2 linked regions of the Coturnix japonica genome follow. The protein of the gene in region 1 purifies or fractionates together with the protein of each later gene. This does not show direct contact. Links are inferred from orthologs where the notes say so. Each region holds a gene or a part of one and is shown in the gene's direction. Other genes may lie near its edges. The genes, in order: EEF1A2 and EEF1B2.

What was found.
Region 2: the proteins of EEF1A2 (region 1) and EEF1B2 purify together in Homo sapiens (co-immunoprecipitation; 4 studies listed by BioGRID and IntAct, counting the BioPlex papers as one, with this or other methods). This does not show direct contact. The link is inferred for Coturnix japonica from reciprocal best matches to the Homo sapiens genes EEF1A2 and EEF1B2.

Annotation. Positions count from the first base shown.
Region 1 is NC_029535.1:8,078,570-8,096,203, reverse strand, and holds EEF1A2 (elongation factor 1-alpha 2), read left to right. Parts: upstream 1-1,620; 5' UTR 1,621-2,312; intron 2,313-3,646; 5' UTR 3,647-3,716; coding exon 3,717-3,860; intron 3,861-7,378; coding exon 7,379-7,558; intron 7,559-8,295; coding exon 8,296-8,592; intron 8,593-11,080; coding exon 11,081-11,231; intron 11,232-12,224; coding exon 12,225-12,481; intron 12,482-13,029; coding exon 13,030-13,264; intron 13,265-13,611; coding exon 13,612-13,739; 3' UTR 13,740-13,961; downstream 13,962-17,634. UniProt on the Homo sapiens protein: Translation elongation factor that catalyzes the GTP-dependent binding of aminoacyl-tRNA (aa-tRNA) to the A-site of ribosomes during the elongation phase of protein synthesis.
Region 2 is NC_029522.1:11,925,804-11,939,700, forward strand, and holds EEF1B2 (elongation factor 1-beta), read left to right. Parts: upstream 1-3,839; 5' UTR 3,840-3,945; coding exon 3,946-4,025; intron 4,026-4,179; coding exon 4,180-4,302; intron 4,303-5,471; coding exon 5,472-5,595; intron 5,596-5,812; exon of another isoform or gene 5,813-5,894; intron 5,895-5,964; coding exon 5,965-6,031; intron 6,032-6,396; exon of another isoform or gene 6,397-6,530; intron 6,531-6,767; coding exon 6,768-6,893; intron 6,894-7,293; coding exon 7,294-7,448; 3' UTR 7,449-9,140; downstream 9,141-13,897. Other genes in the region: NDUFS1 (NADH-ubiquinone oxidoreductase 75 kDa subunit, mitochondrial), read right to left, coding at 3-84, 176-252, 1,091-1,198, 2,769-2,860, 3,016-3,079. UniProt on the Homo sapiens protein: Catalytic subunit of the guanine nucleotide exchange factor (GEF) (eEF1B subcomplex) of the eukaryotic elongation factor 1 complex (eEF1).

The DNA of each region.
Region 1 (17,634 bases):
GGCTCTGAACTCCCAGTCGCTGCATGTTTTGCCTGCTCAGGTCTCTTCTCCTTCCTAGAGCTGAGAACTGGAGGATGAGAACGAATTTCCAGGTCCAACACTGTAGTGAAGCGCTTCTGTTCAGGATGCAGGTGCTGGGGAAGCCCTGCTCTGCAGCACACGACTGTGGCTTTAAGTCCCTTGGAGGCTGGGTGTCAGGTGGCTGCCCCTCATCCCGATTAGCCAGGTCTGGCAGCTCTCTCCTATTCCTGTCCTGCACTATTTATAGTGTGATGGGCTGTCGGGCTCCGCTGCGCTGCAGCTACAGGCAGCCCCATTTCTATGCCTCCTGCCTGTCCTTGCATAAAAAGAGTAGATTATCTTTTGGCAAAGCACTGAAAAATGGGCAGGAAGAATAAGGGACTTGTACTCCCATCCCTGCTATGCATTGCCACACTCAGTGTCCATCCCCAGCACATCCAGGTCTGGGGTTATGCCAATGCGCCCATCCCAAAATGAGCTCAATGCTTTTAAATACCATTTAAACCCTTCCTTCTAAATGTTTGTTTTTCCTTTTTCCCCCCTAGTACTCAGTATTGCACAGAGAATGCTGCATAAAAGATATCTTCCTATCACATCTCTGAGGAGATACCACTGAACTGTAACATCCAGGGAAAGAAAAGTCTCCCCTTAAACATTATGAGATCTTAGTACCATTTTCTTCTATGTGATGTGTGTTTAACCCCGAGACTGTCAATTGAAAGTATGTGACTTAGCTGCTAAGCCCACTGAAAGACATCTGGCCCACAAAACTGGTTTGGACTATGAGATAGATTAACTCAAAATTCACTCTCTTTTGACCTGTTTTTGGTGTTGGGACACAGAAAATGTTGTATTACCTTGTAACTGCTCAGCTGACATAGGCATAAATACTCTGACCACCACCTGATATTTGTTAATGCAAAGGAAGCATCACGGTAGGGCAGTAGGACGTTATTCATGGTTTCCTTGTCCTGGGACTTGAACCTCATCTCCCATTAAATTAAATGATGTTCACAAACTGTAGATTCTTGAGCAACAGCCCTACATATTGCAAGTGCAGAAACATATTTTGCTTGATTTATTCCTTCACTGTTGGCTCCTGGGCTAATGCATTTCCACTGAGGCAGAAATGTGGGTCAGTGCCCACAGGACTGAGCCCAGGGACATGTGTGCCCCTGCAATGACCTGTCCCCATCTCACTTGCTGGGAGCCCTGGGCTCTGTGCCTACACCAACTCCATCCCTTCACCCCCAGGTTGCCATGAGGGTTCCAAGACCCTGTTGGTCTTTGCCTGCCCTGATCCCCCTGGATGACGAGCTACAGCATTTCCACTCATAAAAAGTACTTTCTTATATCTCCATCTTCCTCTTTGCCCTCCACCTCCCTAATCTGTCCATTTGCTCCATCCTTTCCTATCCCACTTTCATCTTCCATCCCTATAGCTCTCCTGGCTTTCCATCTTTCATCCCTTCACCTTCCTCCCATTCCACTGTCTCCTTCTTACCCATTCTCCATCCTTCCATCCCTCCATATTCCACTGTTCCATCTCTCCTGTTCCTCCTATCCCTCTATTCCTCTTATCCTTCCATATCTGCCACCCCTTCATTTCTCTCATCCCTCCATCTTCCTCCCATCTCCTTACCTCCTACTCCTCCATCTCTTCCGTTTCTCTCTTTCCTCTTTTCCTCTGGTTGTTCAATTTCTCCCTCCCTCCATCTTCCTCTTCTCTTTACCTCTCATCCTTCCCCATCTGCATTCTCCTCTCTCCATCTTTCCTCCATTTCTCCTATCCTTCCACTCTTCTTAACCCTCTATTTCTCTCTCCCTCCATTTCTTCCCATCCCTCCATCTCCCACCCTTCTACCTCTCCCACCCAGCTGTCTACTGCTCCTCCATCACTCCTCCCTTCCTCCTATCCTTCTATTCCCCCTATTCCTCCCATCCCTTTACCTCCAGTCTTTACATCTTCCTCTACTCCAGCTTTCCCCCGTTTCTCCCATCCCTCCATTTTCCTCTCATCCCTTTATCCCCCATCTCCTCTCCATCTCCCACCTCTTCCAAACACCTTCCATCCCCAATTCTCCCCCTCCGTCTCTCCCTGCTCTCTCCTCCTCCTTCTCTTCCTCCTCCTCCCCCCGGCTCGCCTCCTCCTCCCCCGCCCGGTACCGCATTGCCGTAGTGCGGGGGGGCCGCTGCATTGCGCTGCCGCCGTCAATAGGTGGGCCCCTCCCGGGGAGATAAAGCCGCCGGAGCCCAAGCTGGCAGCCTCTGCCGCCCCGACCGCCGCTCCGGTAAGAGCTCCATTTCCCCCACCCCCGGGATGGGGCTGCTTGAACGGGGGGGGAACCTGCTGGAGGAGGGGGTTTGCTGGGGTGGGGTACGATGCGTGTACATGGGGTGCTGTTGGTATCGAGGATGGGGGGGGGGGGACCCCTGGGATGGAGGAGGGATGGGGTTGGGCCGTTTCTTCAGTCCGCAGGTGGGAATGCAGCCTGTATCCTGAAAGCTCGAGGAAAGGAAAAGGATAACTTTGAAAAGAAAAGAGAAAAAGTGAAAAGAAATGAAAATTAATTAGAAACGGGGAGGGGGTGGGGGGGGCAGGGGAATATCTAATAAAATTAAGAATAAAGAAAGGGGGAGGGGTGGGGGGAGTCGGGAGAAATGAAAAAGAAAAAAAGGAGAAAAAAAAGAGAAAAAAAAAATCAATTACTGAAAATAAAGGAATCCCCGCTTCCCCCTCGCAGAAGGGAGCGCAGCCGACTCCGGGCACCTGCGCTGGGCTGCGCCATGGCCGGATCCTGCGCTCGTTCAAGGGCAGGGAGGAAGGCCGGGGGCAGAGGGGCTATCACCGCCCCCCCGAATCGCTGTGAGAGCAGGAAGCTGCCCCCGACCTGTTTTGCTTCTATGGGCAGCTTCATAAAATTGGATTTTATTAGACGTCAAATTAAAGCTCCTAATTGTGCAGTGCTTCTGTAGCGGCTGTGGCACCATGGTAACCCTGGGAGATGCCAGAACAGATCTATTGATTTTCATTTTAAGCCTCCTCCCTCTGTTTCATCCAGATTCAGGGCAGCAAAATACCACAAAATCCCCCACAGCGGGCTCAGCTATGCTGCCCTGCCCCTCTCTTTGCAGCCCTGCTCAGGGCAGAGTGAGAGGGCTATTTTTGTCCATCCTGTTATTTGGGCATCATGTTATCACCCAAGAGGTGAAGGCACCCAGTGGGGACAGGGACGGGCACCCATGGCTCCTCCCAGGGTGCCCACGAAATGGAGGATTTGGAAATGGAATAGAGTTTGGAAAGACCTAGAAGGCAGCAGTGAAGAGCAATTGAAAGGTTGGGTTTTTTTTTTTCCCCATAGAGGAAGGGCACCTTCGAGGTACCGATGACGTAGCCTTGGGAGCTGGGGGTCTCCAGGAAGGCAGATGATAAAATCATGGTATCTTGCTGAGAGCTGGAAGCTGGACGTGGTGACCAGAAATAGCCTGGCCAGTCTCCTCCGGGGGTGAGCTGGATCTGTCCCAGCATGAGCAGAGCCATCGAGCCATGGCCACGCACCCCTGTCTATGCTGGCAGTGCTGTCGTGGAGGCTGTGCTGACGCTGCCTTTTTAATTCTCTTACAGCCTCTCCATATACACAGCTGCATCCCCAGCGCTCCCCCCACCGCCCGCCCTCCACACGTAGCCCACCAACATGGGGAAGGAAAAGACTCACATCAACATTGTCGTCATCGGCCACGTCGATTCCGGCAAGTCCACCACCACCGGGCACCTCATCTACAAATGCGGGGGCATTGACAAAAGGACCATTGAGAAATTCGAGAAGGAGGCTGCTGAGGTGAGGAGAGTGTCCCCTGCCATGTCCCCTGCTCCGTGCTGATGTCCCATGGGCAATACGCCCCTTGTGATGCCATCCTTGTACCTTTCTCCCTTTGTTCCTATCACTTTATTCCTTCTGCATCCCAAGTCTTCCCAGCTCCTGTGGCCCATTGGTCCATGGGGTGCTTACCCCCTAGTGCTGATCCCCACCTGGGGATTTAGAAGATGGATTGTGGTACCAGCAGTAATGGCGAGGATTCTGAGAGAGCCACAGTGCTACAGGGCGTGAAATTCCCACTAAATCTTGTGCATGAGGAGGAAAACCTGATAAATCCCTTCCTGCCCTGTGCATGACCATGAATTTCACCCTGTAACATCCCCTTCCAGCATCATGGGGCAGCCAGCATCAGCTGGAGTGCAGATTTGATCCACTTGGCTAAAGAACCATCCCCTTAATGGGGGTTGATTGGTAGCTCTCTGTATAGGAAAGCTGGCATGGAGCATAAGCATTTAAGTTGAATTCTTTTGCTGAGCCTCTCTAATGGTGCCATTTGAAGCAATGTCATAGTGCAGGCATTTCTCGGGCACTCATGCTGTAAAGCACCACCCAGCACCTATAATGTGGCATAGATCAAAGAGGAATAAACATTCTGGGGAACAGAGGAGAACATTGTGAATGGGAAGAGCTGGGAAATAAGTGATGGTAAATTCTAGAGAGGTGGGTGAGCCAGGAGCAGGCTGGTTGTGTTACCCATGGGGTGGGTCTGGTCAGAAGAGATCTCACCATCATCGTGTCATGAACCTTCCATAAATCTTTAATGCAGGCATCTCTTAATTTAGCTGGACAAAACCTCTTATTTAAAAGAAAAGAGAGAGAGGAAAAATGAAAAAGAAGCTTTCAGAGCTGCCATTCCTGATAGCACATCTTGCTGTCTGCCTCTTTGAACCCTTTGAATGTGCCAATAGCATCTGAGCTACGCCACCCCTTTTCCTGCCTCATTGTCAGCCTTCTCTTGCAGCCCTTAAGAGCAGAGCCTCTTCCTTAGAATAAAATCCTCTCTCTTTGCTTCGTGTTAAAAGGATAGAATCACAGAATCATAGCTGCTATCCCTTGCTATATTTCCAGCCCCTTACCTTTAGATCAGGTATGGCACGATGAGGTTATCACGGACGCAATTGCAGCTGCATTAATTGAGCAGACATTTCCCCTGACTTGCTAGAATATGCGGGGACTGGAGCTGCTATTAATAGCCTATTGACTGAGCTTACCGACTCCATTTTCTGATGCAGGGCTGGGGAAGGGTTTTCTTCCATTAGGTGGCATTCTCAGGAAATGGAGGCCTGTGTGCACCCAAAAAAAGCTATCAGAAAACACGGTCCGATATTTTTAATTATTATTATTTTCTTTTTCCTTAGAAGAAAGATCTTATTTTTCTTTATGGCTGGGAGGGTAGAAATAACAGCATCTCCGAGAGAGGAATTGCTCTCTTTATTTTATTTATTTTATTTTAAAGAAAATAAACCAAACCCAACAGTATTTGTGATCTCCGAATAGGAAGCTGCCCCTTTGCTGGGGTCTGGTGGAGGAAATGCAGGCAGTTCTGGCACCAAACAGTGAAGGCATTGTGCAATGCTAGATGATGCAGTGGGGTTTTTTTTCTACAATAGCTCTGGGTAACTGAATACACCCCGTGGAAGGAGGGGAGCTGTTTGCTATATAAAGGATCTCACTTGTCTTTAGGTTATGTCCAATGGCATGTTCTGTTGGGGGGGGGGGGAGTGGTACACAGAATGGACTGCTTTTGGTTGGGTATGGATCCCTGCAGTTCCTATGAGAAAATCCTGGGTTTTAGGATCAGCTGTGAGTCCCAACAACCAGCTGCACCTGGGGCCTATTCTGTGCCTCAGCTACCCCACCCCATAGCATAGTGCTGATGGCTGAAAGGCTTTGGGGTTCTCTAGCTGAGCTCCTGCCTGAGCGCTCCTCATTATTAATGCACTGCACAAAATAAATCCCTTTTTCCTTAACCCTCATCTTGGCTTGGGCAGTAAATTAGCATGCTCTAATGATGCCCTAGATACCAGCAAGGGAGGGAGTGGGTGTGCATGCTGGAAAGGGTTAACTTCCCAGCTCCCATTCTGCATCTTTTGCCATATTGGAGCAAAGATGTGATTCTGGATTTTTCCACCCCCTGCTCCTGCAGGCACACAGCTCAGGGCTGCCCACTGGGGCTGCAGCATCACCCAGCACTCCCTCTGAGGAAGGGGAGGTTTGCTCTGGCTTTAGGATTTTGGCTGTAATCCCCTCCCCGAGCAAGCTGCAAAGTCATCGCAGCGCTCAGCTGTTACATAAAGGGGCTGGCACTGCTAATTCCTCGTGCTGCACAGGCACAGGGCTGCGATTCCATCCCGGTACAGGCGGGGTGCATTGGGTCCAGTGCTGCAGCATCCTCCCCTGTGAGCAGCACTGGAGCGCTCATCTCCTGCCAGCAAGAGGCATTTCCCTCCGGCCTGGTGATCTATAGTGGCCCATTATGAATTTTATGCACTGATGCTCTAGAAGAAATCGCTGCTGCAGACATGGGATTGTGGTACAGCACCTCCGTCCTTGCGCGGCAGTTACAGCACATTACGTCATCAGCAGATGACCTATTTCTCTAGCTGAATTCTATTTTCTACCTTAGAAAACTTGCCTCTCCAGCCAAGATCTGGTGATTGATGCATGTTAACCCTCTGGTCCGCTTGGGCTGTCCTGGGGCACAGTGGAGAAGGGCTGAGCTTGTCCTCCCCTATCGGTGCAGGATCCCTGTTTAGAGCTTGGGGAAGGTTTGGCTCTGCTTAGTGGCATCAAAGTCACCGACCCAAAGGAAGCGGCATCATGTTTTTACCAGGGCATGTGCTTTATTGCAGGGCAGAGAGATTTGCAGTGGCTCATCTCACCCAGCGTGATTTTCTACCCGACAATGTTGGCTGGGATTTTGGCCATTTGGCAGTGACAGTTGGTCTGACTGCAGCTCACAGTCACTTTTCGTGCAGATTCGCACACTCTGTGGCAAAAATCAATCACGTTTCTGTTCAGCTCCTAGCAACCCTCTTGCATTTCATTTTCTTTTAACCCATTCCCTTGCTACATCCTATTAGTTTGGGGTTCCTCGCTTAGCAATGGCTTTTCCTTCTGTCCAACTGTCTCGTGTTCACTTAGAAGATTAAAATACAACAGCAAGAAGCTTTCCAGCACTGCTGGGTAATTCTGTATCAATGTAATTTCACAGCAGCCCTGCAGGGTTGTGGCATCTCATGGAGGAGACATTGCTGGTCTCCAGCTTCTTATCCAGTCCCACCACAGATCCTCTCCATAGCTCTGCTTCCAGTCTCTTCTCCATCTTCCTGGGGAATGTGTTTAGAACCATATCTCTTTTCCTCTGTGTGAACTGACATATAGATTATGTCTGCCATTGACTTCAGGGGGTTTGCAATGTGACCCTTGGCCTTCATGGCTATGGGAGATTGACCAACTCTGACCTTTGTCTTGGCCAGATGGGGAAGGGGTCCTTCAAATACGCCTGGGTGCTGGACAAGCTGAAGGCTGAGCGTGAGCGTGGTATCACCATTGACATCTCACTGTGGAAATTCGAGACCACCAAGTACTACATCACCATCATCGACGCTCCTGGACACAGAGACTTCATTAAGAACATGATCACAGGCACATCCCAGGTGAGAACGGGAGGCCAGGAGCTGCAGGATGTGGGAGGCTGAGGTGGCATCAGTGAGTGGTGGTGAGCAGGGTCCATGCAAGAGGTGGCATTAGGTCCCTTTCTGGATGCTGAGGAAAGGGTTTATTTGGGCAAAAAGGAGTGCTTTCTCTACAGCACTTCCCTTGCTTGTATGAGCTGGGGATGAGTATGGACTCAGAATCAACAGGATGTTGTGAGTGTCTCCAGGGTAAGGTAGCTTCCCCCTGCCATACTGTACTGCAGGGCATTTCTGCATCCCAGAGCCATTCATGGGCACTGGGTGAGCCTTGCTGCATGCCCCTGGAGACCAGCTTTAGCCAAATGCAGATAGCTTCTGTCATTGACACCAAGGACAGGATTAAGATGTGTGAGTTCCTCCATCAACCATGGAGACTGCTGAAAAGACTTCAGGTGGGGTTTGAGGTGAGGCTTTGACCCTGCATCCATGGGATGTTAAGATGAGGTCCTGATTAGATCCATACAACTTAGAAAGATCCATCTTGTAGTCCAACGTGTTGCAAAAAGCATGCACAGTTGGCAAGAATAAAATAACACGGGTCAGGGTTGAGGTAGATCAGCAGGGTTTGGGGTAGCAGCTGGCAAGGCATCTGCCTAAGGCATGTTTGTTCTGATTAATGTTCCCTTTGGGACATGCTCAGAGCTCCCAGGAGCAGCATTCTCAGGGACAGCAGCAGCTCATCATCTCTCTCCTCCCAGGCTGATTGTGCTGTACTGATTGTTGCTGCTGGTGTTGGTGAGTTCGAGGCCGGTATTTCCAAGAACGGGCAGACCCGCGAGCACGCTCTTCTGGCCTACACCCTGGGTGTGAAACAGCTGATCGTTGGTGTTAACAAGATGGATTCCACTGAGCCCGCTTACAGTGAGAAACGCTATGATGAGATTGTCAAGGAGGTCAGCGCCTACATCAAGAAGATCGGCTACAACCCAGCCACAGTTCCCTTCGTGCCCATCTCGGGCTGGCACGGGGATAACATGCTGGAGCCATCCCCCAATGTAAGTGTGTGATGTGTCGTGTTGTTCCCCCACTTTAAGTGTCTGTATCCAGGCTGGCTTTGGTGCTGTGAAAGCCACAGACATGCTTCATGCACCTATCATGTGCAACTGCCTGCTTTGCTGGTGCAGATGTTTGTCATGTCACTGTGATTGTGCTGGGATGAATGGGCACAGAGTGCATGCTTCTTGTACCACGACCAGACATCCCAGTGGCTCTCCATGAGCCTCATATGATCAGTAGGGCTGTGCTCCTGGGATCTAATTTAACAATTTTGCTTCGTCAGACCTGTGTTGATGTTAGAGCCATCGACAGCAATTGTTATGCTCAGCAGGAACAGCATGAGTGGTTTTAGGGCACTGTTTTTCCAGGCAAACAACACGATCTGGTTGCAGGGTTGGAGCAGTTCTCACCGCACAGCCGGGCTAACATGTGCTGCATATTGGATGCTTCTTTGCATTGGTGCTGTATCAGCTGCACCCATGTACCACTGCTGGGGCTCCAATTTTTAAGGCAATTTTTGCATGGGAAGGCACTGTGATTTCCTTGAGCATCCATTTAGGGTTTCTCCTTGGCCAGTTGATTCCAAATTGGCCTCTCCCTTTGTGTATCAGTGCTGATGATGCAACGATAGGGTGCTATTTCTTCATATGACGGCAGTGGAGAAAGAAGAGATTGAGGAGGCATGGGGGTTCTTTGTCAGAACAGATGCCAATAGCAGTTGTTACATCTCTTTTTGGAGAAAAAGCTCCCCCAGCTTCAGTCTTCTAAAGACTAAAGAATGTCTTGTGACCTTGAGCAAGTTGCTCAGTGCTGAAACACAGTGGTACCTTGGGAAAGCAACTGGAAACTCAACGTTTCAGGGAGATTTAGGACTTCACTTGTGGATTTGGGGTCAGCATTCAGAAAGAAGGGAGGCAACGTGTCCAAGTACAGCCAAGGGAGGTTGGGATTGAGAGCCTGAGTTAGAGGAGTGCTGCAATGCAGCCTCACACTGACCTGGCTTGTAGCTCACAGCCTTGCACAGGGAAGACAGTTCATGAGAAGCTTGGGGATAGCTTGGAACAAGTGGTTTTTTCGGAGATTCCTTTCCCCTGTACAGTGGAGCTGGGATAAGGTCAGCCGTGGTCACACCAAGCCCAGCTGCATAGTTCCTGGGTGCCTCCAAATCAGGCTCCAAATGTCAGCAGCTGCTGGGCAGGGAAGATGATCCTGAACAATTTGCTATTAATAGGCTGCAGAGGGGAGGCACAGGGTAGGATGGGCCTCACTGACTTCGTTCCTCAGATGGGAGGCTGGGAGAATAAGGGTGGAAGGCTGTGGGGCTGGGGGTCCAGGGAAGCAAAGGATGCTAAAAGGATGCATGGACATTCTGTATCCCATGATGTGGTCCTCAGGGTCCCCTCCCACATCTGTGGGGACAGAGTCCACCTCCCCACATTGCACTGCTTGTAGGAAAGCTTGGGTGGGAATCCAGTGCAAATCTTTCTCTTCTTAATCCTCACCCCCCAAAAAAGCTCCTATTATTCTCACTCACATATTTCCAGCTGAGTTTCACTCAGCAAGAGGCAGCCAGGTGACTTGTCTATCCAACAGGGGACAGACGGCCAAGGTTGGGGTTGGAACTAGATGATCTTCAAGGTCCCCTCCAACCTAAGCCATTCTGTGATTCTATGCTTGTGCAGTGGTGTTGCAGCTGCATCCCATCAGGCTGTGTGGACATGGGGCTGGAGCCAGCCCTACATGGGAGGATGTTGTCCATGATGTAGTCTGTGATGGAAGATGAGCATGTATGGGGTACAGAGTAGGCAAAACTGGAGAAACTGCTTTGTAAAATGGAGTGCAATGGGAATTAAAGCTCAGCTGTTAATGATGGGAGCTTGAGCTTGCAGCATCCACGGCTGACAACACAGGGTTAACACACAACCTATCAGACCGTGTTACGTCAGACCCTGTTTCTGCCATGGAGCTGTGGAATAGTTATGGTTCTTGGGAAATGGATTTGGGGGCATACACGAGCAAGGTTTTGATGTGTAATGTTGTGCACTGGGCGACAAGTAGCACCCAAGGATCCAATGCTGGGCAGAATAATCTGTGACAAACCATTCTGCCTCTCAGCAGCTGTGAGGAAACTCAGTGGCTCTGCAGTCCATGTGCATAGGGCTGAATACATGTGGCTGGTGTGGGAAGGCAAAACCTTGTCATTAGGAATGGAGGCTGCAGGTTTGCAAGGTTTAACCAGTTTCTTCTGCTCATGGATGATTCACATCTTTCTAGAAGAGAAGGGAGAATGGGGATGGAGCTGGATGAAGGGATGCAGGTGAATATGCAGAGATGCTAGAATGCAAAGACCTTACCAAACCCAAATAAATCCAGGCTGCAGCTAAACCAGCTCCACACATTTTGTCCTAATGGGACACCTCAGTGGGACCATCTCAGGGTGTTGAGGACAGGCACACTCAGTGCAAACTGTTGCTATTCTGTTTGCAGATGCCTTGGTTCAAAGGCTGGAAGGTGGAGCGCAAGGAAGGCAACGCGAGCGGGGTGTCCCTCCTGGAGGCCCTGGACACCATCCTGCCCCCCACCCGCCCCACAGACAAACCCCTGCGCCTGCCCCTTCAGGATGTCTACAAGATTGGAGGTGGGCTACCATCAGTGTGACTCTTTTTAACTGTAGCCTTCCTTCCACAGGGATTTGGGGATGATGTTTCCAGGCACGGGGAAGCTGGAGGGATTGGACTTATTGAACTGCAATTAAAACTGGGTGGAGACCCCATGTGAGACTTTGGGTTGGAGGCAGACGTGTCCAGTTGCCCAGAGACCTGAGATGATAGCACTGAGCTCTTCTCAGTGAACATGATGTCAAAATGGCTGCGGATTTGGGTGTCCCAGAGGTCACGGCTGGCAGAACCAGTTGGAGACCAGCCAGGAATGAGATTTTGCTTGGTTGTGGTCATTGGTGCTCCCAAATGCTGGTGTCCATCAGCAGCACCTTCATGTGCCCAGCTGCACCACGGGACCAGCCTTTTAGGGAACATGGACAGTGACGTGGGCACGTCTCAGGGCTTTAAATATCCCTTCGCTCTCTGTCCTGCTGGCAGCACTGGGCAGCCCTGCAGAGCCATTTCCAGTCCTTTCCATACTTTCCAAAGAACACGTGCATTGCAGAAATCAGCCATGTTGAGTGTTGCTCCCTTGCTTTTAGGAAGCATTTTAATGCAGGCTTTTGTTTGCAACAGAGATGAGGGATGGTGGGCAGCTCTGCATCCTCCTCCACCCCAGCTGGGGGAAAGACAGGGTTTTGCCAAGGGATTAGGCAGGTCCTTAGGAAGCAGAGACACTATGGGAAGGGTGGAAGTGAAGGCAATAGAGTTGGTGTGGAATAGTGGATGGATCCCACCAGCTTCTTTTCCAGGTTTTTTTCTCATAATGCTTCTTCACCTTGATCTAAAGGTGCATTTTCCACAAATCTCCCATTGACACAAGGTGTAGAATGTCCCATTCATCCAAATAGCCATCCTGTCCCCTCATGCAGTGAGGATGATGAGTCAATTGAAAGCCATTGGAGATGCCCTGCTGCCCATCACATGCTTCGTGGGTGACGTTCTGCTCTGATCTCTCCTTGTCCTTGCAGGAATTGGCACAGTTCCTGTGGGCCGAGTGGAGACCGGCATCCTGCGACCTGGTATGGTGGTCACCTTTGCACCTGTGAACATCACCACTGAAGTGAAGTCGGTGGAGATGCACCACGAGGCACTGAGCGAGGCCCTGCCTGGAGACAACGTTGGCTTCAACGTGAAGAATGTCTCTGTCAAGGACATCCGCCGTGGGAATGTCTGTGGGGACAGCAAGTCAGACCCGCCGCAGGAGGCAGCACAGTTCACGTCTCAGGTCAGCTGATTAGAGTTCTATTCTGTTCCATTCCACTTTTGCTCTGCTTCCACTCCATTCCATTCCACTCTACTCTATACCCTTCCACTCCACTCCATTCCATTTTGTCCCCAACATCCAGCAGCTCACAGCCTTGCACAGCTGACACTGAGGAGATAAAACCTAGGGGAGCAGAATACCCACCAGGGAAAGATGCACATTCTAGAGGTTGCCTGGGGTTTAAGCCTTGGGTTTGCAATTTGCACACTGGTGCATGTGAAAATGGTTGCTCCCTCTCCCAAATGCAGCTGGCTCTGGTGGAGAGCAGGACTAGGTAATAACTCACAGTGAGGTACCTGCACCCATGTCCTTCTGGGTGCTGAATAAATAAATAATAGCTTAAGTAACACTTTAAACAAAAGAAGGATTCTGCCATGAAAGCCAATTAGCTCTTCTCTGTGTGTGTAGCAGGAGATGGCATTGATTTCCAAACCTTGCAGGTCCTTGCTGGCACCGAGCTATGCAAGACACCATAGCCGAGTCCCTTTGGATCTTGTTGTGTCCCATAGGTGATCATCCTGAACCACCCTGGGCAGATCAGTGCTGGATACTCACCTGTCATCGACTGCCACACCGCACACATCGCCTGCAAGTTCGCTGAGCTGAAGGAGAAGATCGACCGACGCTCTGGCAAGAAGCTGGAGGATGGCCCCAAGTTCCTGAAATCTGGAGACGCTGCCATCGTGGATATGATTCCTGGCAAACCCATGTGTGTGGAGAGCTTCTCCCAGTACCCACCCCTTGGTAAGGGAATGGCTCCTGCGTTGTGTCCCATGGAAGAGCATGGAGGCTGCTTGGGTGCAGACCTCACGCTGGTCATACTGAACCTCCCACTGATCAGATGGGGGGCAGAGGGAGGTGAATGTGTTCCATTGCTGCTCCATCTGCAAAATCTGATGCATGAGCTGGGTTAGGGTGGGTGAGACAGGCTATCTCCTGGGCTGGGTTTTCCCTCTGGGAATCACTGCAACCCAACAGTGGCTATGCAGGAGTGTTTCTCAGCTTCCTGACACAAAACTGATCAGGGGAAGAATCAGAACCTTTCAGGGGCTGGCACAGTCATGTCACTCACATCCTCCTCCATTCCCCAGGCCGCTTTGCTGTCCGTGACATGCGGCAGACCGTGGCTGTGGGCGTCATCAAGAACGTGGAGAAGAAGAGTGGCGGGGCTGGCAAAGTCACCAAGTCTGCCCAGAAGGCCCAGAAAGCTGGGAAATGAATTGTGGGCTCCCAGTGCGTAGCGCAGAAACCATCCCTGACACCAGGACGCTGCCACCGTCTCCCCCCGGCGCATGTGTGCACATCAGCTTGTAAGAGTTTATATGTCAACGACTGGATGCTCACCATTAAGGTCCAGTGGAAATTCTTTAAAAGGAAAAGCATGTTCCAGCGTTTGTGAGGCTTCATGTTAATTTTACCAATAAAACTGGTACAACATCCACAGTGGGAAAAAAGAAAATAATAACAAACAAAACAAACCAACCAACAACAACCAAACCAAACCAACCAACCCCAAAGGTGTGGAGCTCTGTGTGTGTGTGTGTCATTGAGAGGGGCTGGTTTCTTGGGGTCTGTGTGGGAGAGATGTTGGGATGGCCATAGCCAGGGATGGGAGCATCCATGGGCACCCAACACCAGCCATTCCCTGGCTCTCACCAGGTTTATGGGCTCATTTCATTGACATAAAGCAGGGACTGCTCTTGCAGTGGAGGTTTTGATATTCTCCTTAACCTGCTCAACTCTCTAATATCAATTAACAGGGCCCTTAATTATTATACTTTCCATTCTGAATAAGCTGGAGTTAACCCCTTAATGTTATTCCACTTAAAGGGAGAAAACAGCAACCCCATGCGTCCTTGAAAAGCTAGCGATATCACTTTTATACTATTTAATAATGTTGGGAGAAGTGTCCAAAGATTTCCTTCCCCCACCTGCAGCAGATCCCCCAAAAGCCTTTCTCACCCAAAAGAAGCCATAAGCAGAGGGCAGAGGTGCCCAATGGCTGCCCAGAGCCCCAGAATTCAAGGTGTCCACCCAGGATTGTGTCCTGGTCCCACTGCAAAAGTGTAGAGCAGAAGGTTTACCCACAGAGCACAGGATACCTGAACAACAGAGACTGCACCTGGGGGGAGCTTAAGACTGACCAAAGGGTGGGATGTGATTTAGTGGCCATGGTGGGGATGGGTTGGTGGTTGGACTGAATGACCTTAGAGGTCTTTTCAACCTTTATGATTCTATGATGCTGAGTGTGAAGGTAGAGGAGGTGTGAGGGGCTGCTCGCACTGTGCTGTAGTGCTCTAGGGGCATCTCCAAGGGTTGTTCCTTGAAGGTGGGGCTGGCAGCACACCAGGGCATCATCCTGTGCTTCTAAAGCAGTACTTAGGGGAAGTAGCATCCACCTGGCAGAGGAAGCAGGGTGAAGGACGGCACTGTGCCAGCTCCTTCCCAGGAGGACCCCAGAGGCAGAAGGATCATTACTGTTTATGTTGCAGGAGCATCTCGTTAATAACAGATGCTCTGCAGTGCTGCGTGCCCCAGGCAGAGCCCCAAGTCACCACAATCCTGTGCCAGCTCACCGTGCTGCCTTTCCCAAAACTGCACCCGCAGAGCACCAAGGTTCCACTTTGTACCCACTGCTGTTTCCAAGCAGGATGGCAGAACCTCACCCGATGCACAGCTTTCCCCCATCCTTTAGCAGTGGGGACAGGAGCTCCCATGGGGTTGTCCCTGCTGTGCTGTGCCTCCAGCTCTCCTGTCCCCAACAGTAGCTGGTTCTGGAGCAGTGGGGAGCTTGGGGTCAGGCAAGAGACGTAATCAAACACAAAGTCCAAACCTGGTCCTCTATAGCTATTTTAAAAGCAAAAACAAGCCTGACAAAACCATGGGTATGTTTCCATAGAAATATAGCAGGGGAGCTGTGAAGATGCTCTGGGAGTGATGCACAAGCAGTGCAGTAATTAATGGTGTAGCTGCATAAAGGGAAAATTGAAAACCTTGAGGGTTTAACTCAGATTAGCTCATGGCTCACAGCAGGTTCGAGATTGCAGCTCTACTTCTGTGCAGTTGGTACCCTGGATAAACTGTAAGGTTTGAAAGAAGATATGGGGCCTGAAGGGAGATGCCTGGTTTGGGAGGTTTGGGCTTTGCAGAGAGCCAAAATAAACCAAAATGTTCTGATGTAGGCCCATTTCAAAGCAGAAGATTGAAAAATCAGGCATGCCAAACTTCTGGGGGTCTTGACTCAGAGCAGAACGAAGCCATACCCTGCCACCATCCAAACCTCAGGTACAAAGACTCATCATGGACCTGGTCAATCACTGCTGTGCAAATCACTGCCCAACCCCATGAGGCAAGGGGGATGGTGCACTTATTCTGGGCTGGGACTGACCCATTTTGGGCTTCTATCAAAACAAGAAGCAGCCCAACATGAACAGGGCCACAGATGGTTTTCAGCAAGCCCTGCAGCAAACAGAAGCTGATTGGTGAGCCATCAGCACCGTGCATAAAGCAGGCAGGTGTGGTGCTGCCTGTGTCAGGTGGTGATGATGATGAGGTTACAGGGCTGTGCTGAGGAAATGCATTTTAAAACACTGACTTCCCCTTCCTGCTGTGCTCAGGTGTGCTGGGACCTCACTGAAAGCTCAGATATTCTTTTTTCCTATCTACCCATTTTTATTTCATTTTTAAATGGTGGCGTTTCCCATCCCTGCCCTCCTTGCTTCCCCTCAGTACCAGCCTCAGCAATGCCATCTCGTGGTAACAGACACGAAATCCTTCTGCAGAGATAATTAGGGACGGGAGATGCAAACCAATGATGGCCCTTCTGCTGCAAAGCCCTGCCTGACAGCAAATCCGCAGCAAGAGCAGGGAGCTGCAAAGTGCTTATTGCTGTTTCTCTGGGGACTGGAGTTTGCAAACACAATTGTGTTACCCAAAACTTAAAGCTCAAAGGGGAAACAACAGTGACTGGAGGTTGCAGGTAAGTCAGAGAGCACCAGGGCTGGCTCTCCCATAGTGCAGCCCATCAGGTGTTTGAGAACCCACTGGGCTGGCTGTGTGCTGTTAATTATTTAAGTGAGTTTCATTAAGCTTCTGGAGCTGATTGGCTGACTCAGCAGGCATTTGGGCTGCTCTAAAATATTGATGAGGCAGCTGCAAGACTGCAAGTGGAACCCATGTTGTAGATGCTGAGCTGGGTGAATTCTAGCTGCCTTTCCATACTTGGCAGTGGGTTCAAGCAGCAGCTATGGTTTACCTGCAGGTTAAGCACAGTACCAGGGCACTGCTGGCCTACAGGCTGACCTTCCATCCCATTCCTTTTCCTTTAGAAGCCAAGTTATGCTTCCAGCATCCCCAGCAGCCATCGCTGGTCCTGCCATTGCTGACCCATCCCTGGTAGATGTGGGAATGATGTAGGTGCAGCTGGAATTCTGCAGCTGCTCTGCTCCTGGGCCTATGTCTCTAGAACTTTCTCCTCATTTCCTTTAACCACCTCAATCTGCATCCTCCTCCCACTGCATTTGGAGCTGCACTTTTAGCGTGAGCCCGGGCTGCTTTTGCAGATGGGGTGGCACAGAGTTCTGCAACGTGTCCTGTCCTTCTCTCAGCCTGTGCTCTCACTGCATATGCAAATATTGCTGACCTGAAGCAGAAGCTCAAGCTGCAGCACAGCCCAGGGCTGAGCTCTTTCCATGCACCCACCTGCCTTCGGTGATCCCCCCTCAAACTCTCTGAAACCATGCAGCCAAAACTCATTGCTTCACACAGAGATGCTGCAGCACCTTCAGATTATTTGTTTCAGCTTCATTCACAAACTGTCCTTCCATGTACCAGCCTGCCTGCAAATTTAGGCTGGCCTGTTTTCTTAGTCTAAATTATATCCAATCTCCCCTTGTCTGGCACTATTTTCATGCCTTCTATCTGCTGAATGCTCTTTGTAGCGCTGGCCAGAAGAGCACTTAGGTTTGATGAACCTGGAAGCAGCCAGCCTGCAGGACAGGGTATGCCAGGGTCATCTGTAAGAAGGGCAAAAAGAGGAGGATGAGCCCCAGCTACCAGCACGGCTGCAGGTTGATGAGTCTCCCCAGCTCTGCATGCTGTCAGCACACACAGGG
Region 2 (13,897 bases), on another chromosome or scaffold:
ACCTGTAGGTCACATTCTCCACCCTGATCGCAGATAGGACAGTCCAGCGGGTGATTTGCTAGTAGAAACTCCATTACACCCTCCCTGTTGGGTTCAGGAATATTGTTAATATCCACTCCATACCCACCAGCAAACAGCACAAGTAATCAGCCACAGGAGGCTAAGATAAAGGTACCTTGCTTTCCTGGACTTCTCAGAATTTGTCAGTATGTTCCAGCCCTTCATAACTGGCATGGCACAAGCAGCTACTGGCTGCAATCATCATAAACAGCAAGTGTGAGCACAACATATTTCTTCTCAGTATGGGCATAAATCCCAGCCTCCCCCCCAGATTCTGACATAGGCACCTGTTATTAATTTAACACATCGCAGAAATAAAAAGTATCCACAACTACAAATAAAAAGAGGAAAATCTAACCAATACAGAATCATTAAAAGTCATACTAATAACTTACTATATAAAGTTAAATATTGGAGGTACATCATTTTGAAAGTCTCTAGCACTGAAGCCGAAAGCTTTGGATCCAGTGCATCATTTAGTTACCGAGCACTTACTTGGATACAACATTTCCCAAGAATCTTGGAATAAAACTTTTCACAAGATTACTGCAAAACTAACAAAAACTCCTGCCCACAAAATGAATCCTTCCTGCCTTCCACTCACCTCATGATACAGACCATCATTTCAGTCTGCAATGATACAAAACCACCAGAGATACAAAGCTCAAACTGTTGAATTCAAGCTGGTGTGAGCCGGAGAGTCTCACCTTGTGTCATGGTTTTGCACATATAAACCTATCTGACAATACACAGCTATCAAATGCTCATCTCCAGAAACAAGATAATCATAAGAAATTGAGTGACGGTTCACTAGCCTAAAAGTAGTGAATCACTGCAGCCCAGCATAACTTGGTCCTAATACATATATAACACAGAGATAAGCTTAGAAGTGGGAAAAGGGAAGATCTGCTTGAAATGGCTTAATTATAGGAATTTCTGTGCTTAACATTGGGCAAAACAAGCATTTACAGTATAAACTAGGCTCAAAGTACAGCAGAAAACTGTACTTCTTATGGAACATACACAGCACCTTCGGAGCCTTCTCTATTTCCACAAGGCACATCCTACAGTTTCCAGCAACAGAGAGACGGTCATGGTAACAGAAGCGTGGGATCTGAATCCCAACCTTCTCACAGGCCTACAAAGAATAAGGAACAAAGGGAAATTAAATACAGTTACATCATTCAGTAACACACAGCACATACAGCCAAGGGGTTTTTCAAAGAACAGCAGCTTTAGTGCTTTTGACCTTTCAATCTGACTAAGCTCTTTGCTATTGTAGGAATAAGCTTTAAAAACTGTAAGCAAAGAGTAATATGGAAGGTTACCAGTATGATTATTTCTCAACAGAAGACCTAGCTAAGGAAACAATGTTTCAATTCCTCCTCAAAGTTTAGGGAAAACTTTTTAATAGATAGGACACCAGAAGCAAAAACAAAGTTTTAAAGGAAAAACGGACTTTTGGAGAAGTACATAAAAAAGGAAAACACCATTTTGAGCTACAAAAGCAGCAGATGATGATGCTCAGTTCAGCCATTAAACAGACAGCTGCTGCAGCTACTAGAATGCGTAACATTCGTAGCTTATGGAATTTGCCATAGCTGACAGCATTCAGAGCTGGAACTTCAACCAGAACTTATTTAAGCCTTGTGCATATTAATTCAGCTTTGTAGACTGGATTCAACACGAAATTGGAGGCACTCAAGGCCAGGCTGGACAGGGCCCGGTCAGCCCGATGTGAACACAGCAGGGGTGGAACCCGGGTGGGCATTCAGGTCCCTTCCAAACAGAATCACAGATCACAGAATGACCCGGGTTGGAAGGGACCTCAAGGATCATGTAGTTCCAACTCCCCTGCCTAGCACGGCCACCAAACACACACCTTTACTAGATCAGGTTGCCCACAGCCCTGTCCAACCTGGTCTTGAACACCTCCAAGGACGGGGCATCCACAACCTCCCTGGGCAGCCTGTTCCACTAACCACTCTCCTAGTGAACAGAACTTCCCCCCTAACATCCAACCTAAAATCTCTCCCTCTTCATTAAACTTAAAACCAATTTCCCCGTCCTGCTATTATCCGCCCTTCTCGAAAGATGTTTACTTCCCATCCTGCGGAGTAAGTTCCGCTTCAGCTATTGAAAGGCGCAATGAGGTCACCCCGCAACCCTTCTCTTCTCCAGGCTGAACCAAACCCAACTCCCTCAGGCCTCGTCCCTCGAAGGGCGCAGTGCTCCAGCCCCTGATCATTTCCTGTCACCTCCTCTGGACCCTTTCAAAATCTCCATGTCTTTTTTGTACTGACGGGCTCCACACTCTGAACACAGTACTCCAGACTGCGGCCCTCACACAAGACGCAGAGTAGGAGAGGAGCGGATCGACCTCCCTTCCGTGCTGACCACCCTCTCCGATGGCAGCCCAGGCATCCCATTTGCTTTCCGCGGCTCCCGAGCGCACATGCTGGCTCATGTTGACGTCTCTCGTCCACCAGGACCCCACGGTCTCTTCTCAGCCGAGCCTGCTCTCAGGACACTTACCCCAGCCGCTGTAAAGGTGCTGGGGTTCTTCCGACCCAAGTGCAAACCCTTACACTTTGCCGTGTTAAACCTCATTCCGTGATTTCAAGAAGAGCTTCTGCAACCGAGAGCCCGAACGCTGCAAAGCTCTGAGCCAGAGCTGCAGTAAAAGCTGGCCGTGCCGGTGCCCGCACCTGCAGCACTGTGGTTCCGGGGTCCACCAGCACGGGCTGCCCGTCCACAAACACCTCGATCTGGTTGCTGGCTGCCGTAGCGGTCGTGCGGCCTGAAAGACAGCGGAAAGCTTTTCGTAGCAAACCCTTCCCCGGCTGTTGGATGCGGTCGGGCAGAGCCCACAGCCCTCACGGTCACACAGCACCCATGTCGCTCCGGTTCCGTTCAAAGCCAGCACCCGCCCGGAGGACGCGGGCCGACACTTACCGTGCACAGCAGAGGCCGGTGCGGCCGCAGCAAGAGCCCTGCGGAGTGCGGGCAGGCGCAGCATGGTGCCCTGCGGGAGAGAAGCGGCGCGGGTGGAGCGGCTGGAACGTCCTCTCTTCAGCCTCCAAACAGGCCGCAGGGGTCACCTTGCAGGCGGCTCCCGCCGGCAGCCCCCGGCCCCTTCACGGCACTAAGACGGAAGGCGGGACGAAGGCGCCGGGCCCACGGCCGCAGCCCAGCGCCTCACCTCGCCGAGCAGCCGATCCGTTACCGGCGGGCACCGGGCGGCCGCTGCGCACAGCTCGGCCTTACCGTCCGCCTCAGCCCCTATGGCGACCGCCTCGGCTCTTTCCGCCGCTACTTCGGCAATCTCCGGGAACGAGCGGCCAGGAGAGCGCGCTCGGCAATTTTCGGAACGGGGCTGTTCGGGTTGTTCCGCTAGGATGCGCCACTCGGCGATTTCCGCCACTCGGCAATTTCCGCCACTCGGCAATTTCCGCCACTCGGCAATTTCCGCCGTTCCGCCGAGCCCTCTCGGCCACCGTCACACGCGGCGCTTCGGCCAGTTCCGCCTGCGCCGCTGCCGCTGTCATCATCCAACTCCGCAACTTCCGCTGTCGCAGCGTTGCGGGGGGAGACGATACGACCGGGGGTGTTTGTAGCAGCAGTCCGACACTGACAGGGCTCCCGAAACACACATCGCACCGTAACCCAGCTCCGCTGCCATGACGCCCCGTTTCCAGCAGGTTTTGCCCTGGATCGGCACCCAGCCTGCCGGGAACTATTTCGGCACTTCCTGGCGGAAGGATACGTGTGCGCGCGATACCGCGGAGGGTTCTGCCGCTATATAAGGCGAGCGCAGGGGTCGCTGGGCCTCTTTGCTTGGCGGCGGGCTGTGGCTGCGGTGTGGTGTTGTGCGCCGCTGCCGCCATGGGCTTTGGGGATCTAAAGTCCGCCGCCGGCCTGCGGGTCCTCAATGATTTCCTGGCCGACAAGAGCTACATCGAGGGGTGAGGGGCGGCGGGAGGGAGGAGGGCTGGGCCGGGCCGACCCGTGGTGAGGCCCGACGGGGAGCAGCGGGGCTGCCCTGGGACACACGTTGTGTAACCCTCGGGTTGGGCGCCTTGTGTTGAGCGTGGGGCTGATCTCCGCTTGTTCCCGCAGGTACGTGCCCTCCCAGGCCGACATAGCGGTGTTTGAAGCCGTCGGGGCCCCGCCTCCTGCCGAGCTGTTCCACGCTCTTCGCTGGTACAATCACATTAAGTCGTATGAAAAGCAAAAGGCCAGGTATGATTGAACCACGGAATGAACACCCGTGTGAAGTGCTGCGCCAACTGTTGGATGTTTCTGAGCTTGGAGAGAAGTGGCTTTTTGCTGGTCCTGTGTGGCTTCTGGGAACAGAAATGAGTCCAGGAGCAGAGCAGACCCGTTGGGGCGTTATGGGGCCGCTCAGAGCTGAGGAAGCTGAATTTGCCTTTGTGCAGATTCTATGGGGCTCCTGTAGAAGCTTACAAGGAATCCTGGGTCTTGTTGCTGCCTCCTACTCTGTGCTGAAAGCTGGGAATCACGTAGTGCTGACCTGCTCCATAAGGGCAGTATCAGACTTAGGAACTATGGGAGAAACCTGAAGACAATAAGGAAGGAATTTGTTCAGATTTTTAATCTCAGAAGGTGAGGCTAAATTGAAGATTGATGATGTAAAAACACTTGTAAAGAAGGGGGACTATAAAAGCAAATGCTCTCTCTTCTCTTTTTTAGTGATTTTAGTGTTTATGAAAGGTGCTGTATTGACATCCATGGTGACTGCAGGCCTCTCTGGAAAGGTACAGCACAGGTAGTGTCAGTTCTGCTGCACTGCCTCCTCTGTGTGCCTCCCTCCTGTTCTGGAGGGAGCTCCTGTGAAGTTGGGTGGCTCAGACACCGCTGCTCTCAAACCCAAATGGGATGATAAACTGAGATGATAAAGTCTCCTCAAAAGGCCCACTCTGAAAACTTAACCTAATTACTGAAAATTAGATCTAATTTTACAGTTTTTGTAACAGCAGTTTTTTAGTAACAATAGGAAATCAATAGGATTTTGGTCCCTTGTGAGCTATCCACATGTTTTCTGTTACTTTTAATTTAAACAAATGAAAATATTTTTAGGGTAAGAAATTGATAACTTCTCATACACAAAATACATTGGAGATTCCATTATGGAAGTTCTGTTATCCATTTGTCTCACAGGGCAGCAGAATAACACAAGATCCATCAGTGATTAGACAGGCAATCTTTGTAGGATTTGCTGTCGTTTCAACTGAGGTGTTTTTAGAGGCATTTTTTTGGGGAAGGTTTTCAAGTAGCAAAATTAACCCTTTTTTCTTTATCTCACTGTTTTTGCTATGAATGTACTTAAGAAGGACAATGAAGTAGTATATCTACAAATAAGTAATTTCTTAATGCCTGTTTTCCTTTAGCTTACCAGGAATAAAGAAGGCTTTGGGGAAATACGGTCCTGCTGATGTTGAGGACACAACAGGTGCAGCCACAGATAGCAAAGATGACGATGACATTGATCTTTTTGGATCTGATGATGAAGAGGTATTGGTGCTTTTTTTCTCTTTTAGTATTATTCATATGTATATATTTAAGAACCAATTGGACAGGCAAGTGTTTACCTTACTAGTTTAGGTTACTTTAATTTGTGACCTTAATAACAGATACTGTTCAGGATCTCCAGACTCCAATGTCTTTGTAGGATGTAACATACGAACTCTCCATTAGAAAGAAATACAGTGTGTTGAAATGTCTGCTGTGACTGGTTACATGATGAATAAAACAAAAATCACCATCTTTCGGCTGACAGCTGTGATGATTTGTTTTTTCCTGATAGATGCCAGTCAATCTAACAGTGCTTTAAAGATTTGGGGGGGATTGGTGCTCTTTTGTGACTTCGTATTTCTCTTTCAGGAAAGTGAAGAAGCGAAGAAACTGAGGGAAGAACGCCTGGCACAGTATGAATCAAAGAAGTCCAAAAGTATGTGTTTGAGTAACTTTGACCTTGTTATGCATTTAAACAGGATGAATAGAAATAGTGTTTCTCTATTACAGACTTACTGGAATGAAGCAGAAGTGGTTTGCTTTACTTGAGTTCTGTGAGCTTAACCTTTCCTATAGCAAATCATTGAACATTAGCATGCTTTTTGTCCTGCCTATTCTCCTTTTGTCTTACCAAAGGAGCAAGCTTTTTCACTACAAAAAGAGAACCCTAGGGTTTTCTTGAAATAAAACAGATGCAAAGTAGTATAAAACACATCTGTGTAAGAACTCCAGCAGACTGACCTAAGGAGGCCGATCAGTAGTTGGTGAGTTAAGAGAGGAAAGGCTCTTGCATGCAGGTCCCTCCACAGTTACTGGCCTGAAACTGTTCAGGACTGTAGCAGTTGCAGTATTCCCTCTGTGGAAGACAAACTGTTACGTAGTATTAAGCACCTTCTCAGATCCTCTAAGAAGGACTTTCTACGTAACAAACAATGTTAGCTTATGTTCTCTTTTCAAAGTGTTTTTCAAAAACAGGCATCTACATCTTAAACATCAGGATATATATTTTCAGACCCCTTAAAAATGCATGTTGGTACAAGAGGACTGAGTTATGAGGGGTTTTTTTGTTTTTTTTTTTTTTAAGTCGTGTGAAGTTATTTGTAAGTATATTCTTGAGTTCCTGAAAGTTTCCTAGCTGTTAATGGTGTCTTTCCTCCTTTTTTTTCCCTTAGAACCAGCTGTTGTTGCCAAATCATCGATCTTGCTTGATGTGAAACCTTGGGATGATGAGACAGACATGGCCAAATTAGAGGAGTGTGTTCGAAGCATTCAAGCAGATGGCTTGGTCTGGGGGTCTTGTAAGTAAAATTCTAAGTGGGGAAAAGGGTGATCACGTGATCTGTTGGGGTGCTGTATGAATAAGTAGCCTTAGGATTACTGTTTGTCCATCTGTGATAATGTAGGTAGCTAAAATAGTGAGTTAACTGCCATGTTACATAGAGTATGTATAGTGTGAGCTGTGCGTGTGTGGTGTTTGGTGGACTAGCACCCACTAAATAGCAAACTGATAGGTGTTCTTTGCATAATTTCACAAGAGTGATGATTTAAAAAGGGCTTAGTCAGAAAGCTGCTAGGGCAGCAGCAAGGCTAAGATTCAAAGAAACACCTTTTAGGCCAACTCCATTAATGCTATCAGCTGCTTACATCTTTCCATTTTCAAGTGAGGAGTGTGTAATGCTTTTTTGTTTTGTTTTGCAGCCAAGCTAGTACCAGTTGGTTACGGTATCAAAAAGCTTCAGATTCAGTGTGTTGTTGAAGATGATAAAGTTGGAACAGACATGTTGGAAGAAAGAATAACAGCTTTTGAAGATTACGTACAATCAATGGATGTAGCTGCTTTCAACAAGATCTGAGTCTTCATATATTTAGAATAAAAATAATTGCAAAAATTGGGCCATGTCTGTCATTAATTCAAAGTCATAGTGCAATCCAGTTTGTTAATGTAAAATTTGACTGATGGGTAAAGTAAAAGCTAATCAATTGGCTTTTAGGATTGTTCCAGCGCTGTGGTATTTAGTGCCAGAGCAAAGAGAGAGCTGACAGTTGCCATATGTCTAGGCTTAACATTTACATGGCTTTAAATATCTGAAATGCCTTTTCCTCTATTTTAAGTGGAGTTGCATCTTTGGCTACTTGTAATTAATCTGGCAGGAGAGGTGGCTTTCAGGGAGAAGCACAGGGCTGTAGCACTTTAAGAGAAATAGAAGTTTTGTATAGAAAGGATGATGAGTAACCAAATAGTTGTATGGTGGCTTTATTCTTCTGACAGCTGCAGTTCAACTGTCACTTAGGAATGAAGACAAAGATAAGGCAGTTTATAGCAATGAGGACTGCAGAGCATTGGAGATTGTGAAGTGTACTTAATGTGACTGAGACTGCCAGGGTAACTTCTCACCATCTCCTATTGTGTGAACCTGAGATTTTTTTTCTCCTAAAGTGTTTAAAAAATAGAAATAACCTCAAGTTTGGCTTTTTTTGTGTGTGTGTGGGGGGGAGAGGAGGGACGTGTCTTACTCAGTACTGCATAATTCCTGCTTCAAGACCAAGGCCTTGGTGTGCCTTGAACTGCAGGCCAGCATTGGTTTTTAACCTTGAGTAGCAGGATCGAGATCCTTGAGGTGCAATTAAGGTACAGTTCACTAGAGGGCGGTGTGTTCCTTCAAGAAGACCGAGGCATTGGAGGTCTAACGGTGCCATGTGCTTGAGTGAGGTTTAATGGGGCGCAGTGGCTACAGTTAATGCAGGCGGATAGTACTTTGTTACTCTGTTAAAATACAGCTTGCTACAGTGTCACCGTGTATCTTAGAGTGTATGTAACCTGTAACAAGACCAATAGTAGGTTTGAGATCTTAAATATAGTCTTCCCATGCTCCTACATGACTATAAAGATCTCAAACCTACTATTGATCTTGTTGTGCCTCTTTTTGAGAAGGGCTGCCAGTTGCCACTCTATTGTTAAAGCAACAGGGTTTTAAGGAGACTGTCAGAAACACTTGAGTGCAATCTGAACAAGAACAAGCATTATGAAGCAGGGAAGAACAGAATCTGCTGCAGTTGAATTTTGTTGGTTTTTTTCTCAGCAGTATCTCATAGGAAAATCAGAGTGCCTTTTTTTCATCGTAGAGCTTTGAATGAGCATTCTTCTGTCCAAGCAGTGTAGGAGAGTAATTGGGCTTTTTCAGTTATTCTATGGAAATGGAAACCAAGGATGCTGTCTGTTCTGATTAGGTATCTTCATTCCACTTGCAGAAATGAGTTGGATGGTGGCAACTATGTTGCTGATGTTGGTATGAAGGAGGTAGCAATCACCTTACAAAGTTGGTAGGCCATTTTTTTCCACAGACCAGGACTGATGTTGGCCAGATTCTTTATTATCTAGGGGAGGCTTTTGGTTAAGGTGGTGGTTAAATGTTGGCAGTGTTTTGTTGCTTTTTTTAATCCAGAGGGGTAATCCAAGCAAAGCTTTGTAGAGCATTTTCTGACGATGTACACAAGACAAAGCAAATGTAAAATCTTCTTCTTTGAAAATAAAGCTCGTTACTGTGTGTATTTGTCCTCATATACCTAATGTGCATGAAGAAAACTGAATAAACTTTAATTCCTGTGACACAAAGGTCAGGGTTTTCTTTCATCTTTCAGGAACGTCAGTATGGTGCTGTTCTGTGAACAGTCACAGCTTAGTTGCTGCTGAGAAAAGTAAATGAATGTGTTCTTCAGGGCTAATAGAAATTTATTACTCCACTTGGAGCACAGTCAGGAAAGGAAGCATTAAAACACATCATTCTTAGAAAGATGTCAAGGAACATTTTTTTTATATATATAGTGGGCTGGAGTGAAATATACTTATACTATAAGGAACCTCCCCCTCCCTTCCAAATAGTTTAAAGATATACACTGCTACAAATTATTTCAGAGTTATTTGTCCATGAAGTAACTAGGGTAAGTGTATGTTATTCCAATCCATTATGCATCTTAACTTTATAGTAGGCTTGACCTTTTGTTTTTATGACACAAGGTGACTATTTGTGTTCACCCCTTCTGAAAGCTGCCAGGACTCCTGCACCAGTGCCAACCCACAAGGCTGACCCCTGTGGATGCACCACTTGTATACGTGTAACTCTTTTCCCTCAACTAACAGGTAGGTCTTGGCAGATTGTGTTACATTCTGAAATGAACATTCTTAAATGAACATACATAGCGCAGCCTCACACAGTCTGTGCCCAATAACGTGTTACCTTTACAGAAACAAGAGTCTGGAAGCAGTTAAAAGCACTGTTTGTAATTCATCTGTAGCTGTCAGGAAACTTTGCTTTCTAGACAGAGAGGAGATGGGTAACTTGAGGCAAGCATGGCTTCTCTTTTCTTTGACCTGCCAGAAACTGTGACCAGTGCATTAAGCTGTTAATTATGAAGTTGCACTTCTAACAGTCAAGGGGAGGACTGGAAAGAAAATCCTTGAGAGGCAATAGCATTTGCAGACAGCTTTAAGGGGCTGCATGAGTAGGAAATATTGGCTTTGTTTTTTTGTTTCCAACAGAGTCACAATCAGGCATCAGTAACCGGAGTCCTTTGTTTGCACTTCAGAAGTGTCACTATGTGCTTTAGCCCATGGCCTGTAAGTTTGCGTAGTTAGCGTAAGTGCTCTTGTGTGTTATGCATGCTCCTTACAGAGGTAGTGGTACACAATTATGTAAGCTATGTTAGGCAGAACATTGCTGTTCCCAGGCTACCTTGGTTGTTATAACTTCCTTGGTCACGGCCGGGATGCCACCCAAGGCTCAGATGTCAAAGGATTTTAATTCTTGTTTACCTTTTTTCCAAAAGGCAAATGATTATTACACGCTTTCCTTCACCCCAAAAGGGAAACCAAAGGCAGTAGTTTAACCTGACAGTGTCTTCAAATGTGTAAGATAAGAGACAAGCAAAGTTCTTGTAGAGAAATTCAGACTGATTAGAAATATTGTTAAAGGATCCCCATGTTCCTTTTTTTACAGTTTTTTAAAACAAGCATTATAAAATAATAAAATAATGTCTTTGTGAAAATTTATCAGTAGAGGAAAAGTTGTACAATAGAATTGAAAAATGACACATCTATTAACTATATAAATTTAAAAAGTGCATCATGAAAACAGAGAAACCAATGGTGCTGTCTCTGCTTTCCTGTTTCATATCCCTTTCTGAAATCTGTCAGCACCTCTGGAAATTATTTTGGTATTTCAGACTAGTTTTTTTTTTGAGCAATAAGGTTATACCATTGTGTGCATTTTTAAAGCAACTGCTGTGGAAAGGCACTTTTTTTTCTATCTTTCAGATTGTTCACAGATTTTTGTTTCTACTATTTTTGTGCTTATGAAGTGTCCTTAGAAGCATTTGTGTTGTTGATTTTGAGCATGCTCAGTATAGCTGGCTAATAAGTTCACAGAAGAATTGTTAAGCTATACTGGAATTCATGGGTGCTGTAATTTTCTACATTGGTCCTCCTGCTGCTTGGTACCGTACACAGCTCGAGGGGCTCATACCCATCAGTGGCGCACAATGCGTGCAGACAGTCATAACTCCCCAGCCGCTACTGGAGATAGGCAGGCAGGCGCATTCTCTGCTTCCTGGTAGGGTGCATATGGGAGCTGGCACAGTGCATGCTCCCAGACGACAGCAATCAGGGAACTCCACTTATCTCCTCTTTTTCTTTCCCTGCAAAACAGTTCCACTGGTGGGTGACAGTTCTGCTTTTTTCTTCAGTTCTTTCAGCACAGGTGCCTCTGGGAGTTGCATTTGGCAGAGCAATGTTATGAGTGCAGGTTTTTCAGAGGTGTTTGAGCCTTGTTCTTTTTATTTTCCTGTGCCCAAGTTCACTTACGCAGTATCTCCCATGAGACAGTAAGTCCATGCTTAATTTTGCAGGCTGCTAAAGAGCTTGCTGGGAGACAGAAATTGAACACCAACTTTACAGCACGAAGAATGAGCTTCAGCAAAGGTGGCACCCTTCTAAATACAACTTCCTTCATTAGTAAGTAGTCAGATAGAAACATAGCAAGTGTTTCAGGTGAGCACTGAAATGTGGATACAGAGTGGTTTGGAAAACCTGGCTGCCTTTTCACCTTGTGAGACCTGTTGACATAACTTGCTTTTCCGGTGTGTCTACTGTTTTTATGACAGCAAATATCTATGCCTTATTTACAAGTAAGCTATTTTTGCCCTTGTGCACTGGTCTCTGAGTTCTACCATTTTCTCTGCTAAAATCATCAGAAAGCAAAGGAGACAAATTTCAGACATACAGCAAGATGCTTCTTGCTGCAGAACATGGGGCTGTAATCTTTTTGGCACTACTAAAATGAATAGGTGAAAGCCGAGCTAGCATACTCTGTACACAAAGATAGCAGATGTTTTCATCCTAGAATGCTGAAAATGGATAGCTGTAATTACACGTGTATGTACCTTTTGACTCGTAATGTCAGAGAAAGCCTTGCTTCTGCAGGAGTTGATGAGTGCGGGTAATGGCATTCTGTACTGTTTCAGTGCCTGTTCTTTCCACTTTCCTCTCTGCCAGACAGGCAGGTAGCAGGGCCAGCCTTCTGTTTTGTCTTTCTAAACAGGAAGGAGGCACAAGTCCCACAGAAAAGAAAGAAGTAATCTAGTAATTTCAGTCCTTTTACATGGAAATTACCTGCTTTCCTCTGAGCAGTAGCTTCCAGATGCAACAAAAGAATTACTTGCTCTAACTGGGTGCGCAGCCTCAAAGCCAAAGAGCTCCTCTCCTGAACTTATTGTGCAATTTCCTGCAGCCAAGAGACGTGGCGTCTCCCCATCCCTCAACATGTTGAAAAGCCTGTAGCAAAAAAGACAAGGAATGTGACGCCAGTGGTTGGCACACTCACGGAACACATAGTGTGTGCTTTGTTCTTTTTATTCAGGGCTCGTAACAAGAGGGTTTAGTACACAGCAACAGTTAATTCCAAGTACAATTAATTAAAAAAATTTAAAAATTGGGTTTTGCACTCACTTGGAAGATGGTTCAAATGGCACACACAATAAAATGTTACCGGCAGCACCCAGCTCCCCAGAGTCTTGCAGGCTCAGTCATTTACAGCGGGCTCTGCACTCCTCCACTGCATCAGCAGCGCCAAAATCAAAAGCGCAGAGTGCTTCCCTTCCAACTGCAACCCAAATGTGTGTGGGGGGGTTTTGTTTTCAGAAAAAAATACATGGACCAAAAAAAATCCATGTTAGACACTAACATTTCCAGAGAATTCATAGAAACTACTTGTCCATGCAAGTTGCAGAAGACACTTTTTCAAATGTGAAAAGAAGCACTTGGGCTTTACAAAAAAAATATCTCAGATGTCAGCACTTCAGCAAGGCGCTGTAATGGAAATGAATTTGTACACAGCTCTTCCTCATTCGTCAATAGAAGGATTTTTCTGAAGTTTCAAGAGGAACAGGAAACTTACTGCCCGTATTTCAGCGGCGTCACCACATACCTGTCCAGCAGGATGCTGGGTGTAGGCTTACCTCTGGCCAACAGGCTGCTGCTGACTTTTTACCTTCCTGTAACCCACGCTGGAGTAAGCAAAGGTCTTAATGAGTATGTTCAGAGCACCAAAGAAAACAAACAAACAGTTCCTGCATTTGCAGAAAGTTGCACAAAACACATTGCTTTTTTGAATTAATGCAGAACATCACGGTCTAAATTATTTGCAACAGCAGTTGGCAAAACTTGGCCGTGCCCAGTGTTCAGCAACCTTCCCACAGATAGGAGATGAGGGTCCCATACTCTCACAACTTGTAAAAAATCAAAAGGACTGTTGCTATGCACCGACCAGCTACTGACAAGAATAAAATTAAGTTCCCTCTTGCACTATTCTGACCTCTGTATAATACCACTGTAGCCACAAAATGTGGCTGTGCCTAATACTGAGTGATGCCAAAGGGTGGGGTAGGTGGAAAGTACATTGTAAGCACAATAAATTCTTTAACGTTGCCCCCGGTAAGCTATAATCCATCACCTACCTGCTTCGTGCTGTTTGTTTTACAACACTGCCTCTTCTAACTTAAGTATTTGCCTTTGTGAATGTGATAGTTCTGCGCATTTCCCTCTGCCACTGTTGTCAACATAAGAACTAAAGCCTCTGCATGGGCTTTGCAATGTTTCATTACATGCTACAGTCCTCAGTTAATGACTCTATGCTCAAACAAACCAGCTTGAAGCCACAGGCTACACTCTTTCCTACAGCATCCTCTAGCAGCTTCCAAAAAAGTTGTGCTGATGGATGCTGCTGGGTACCAACCAACAAAAAAGTCCTGC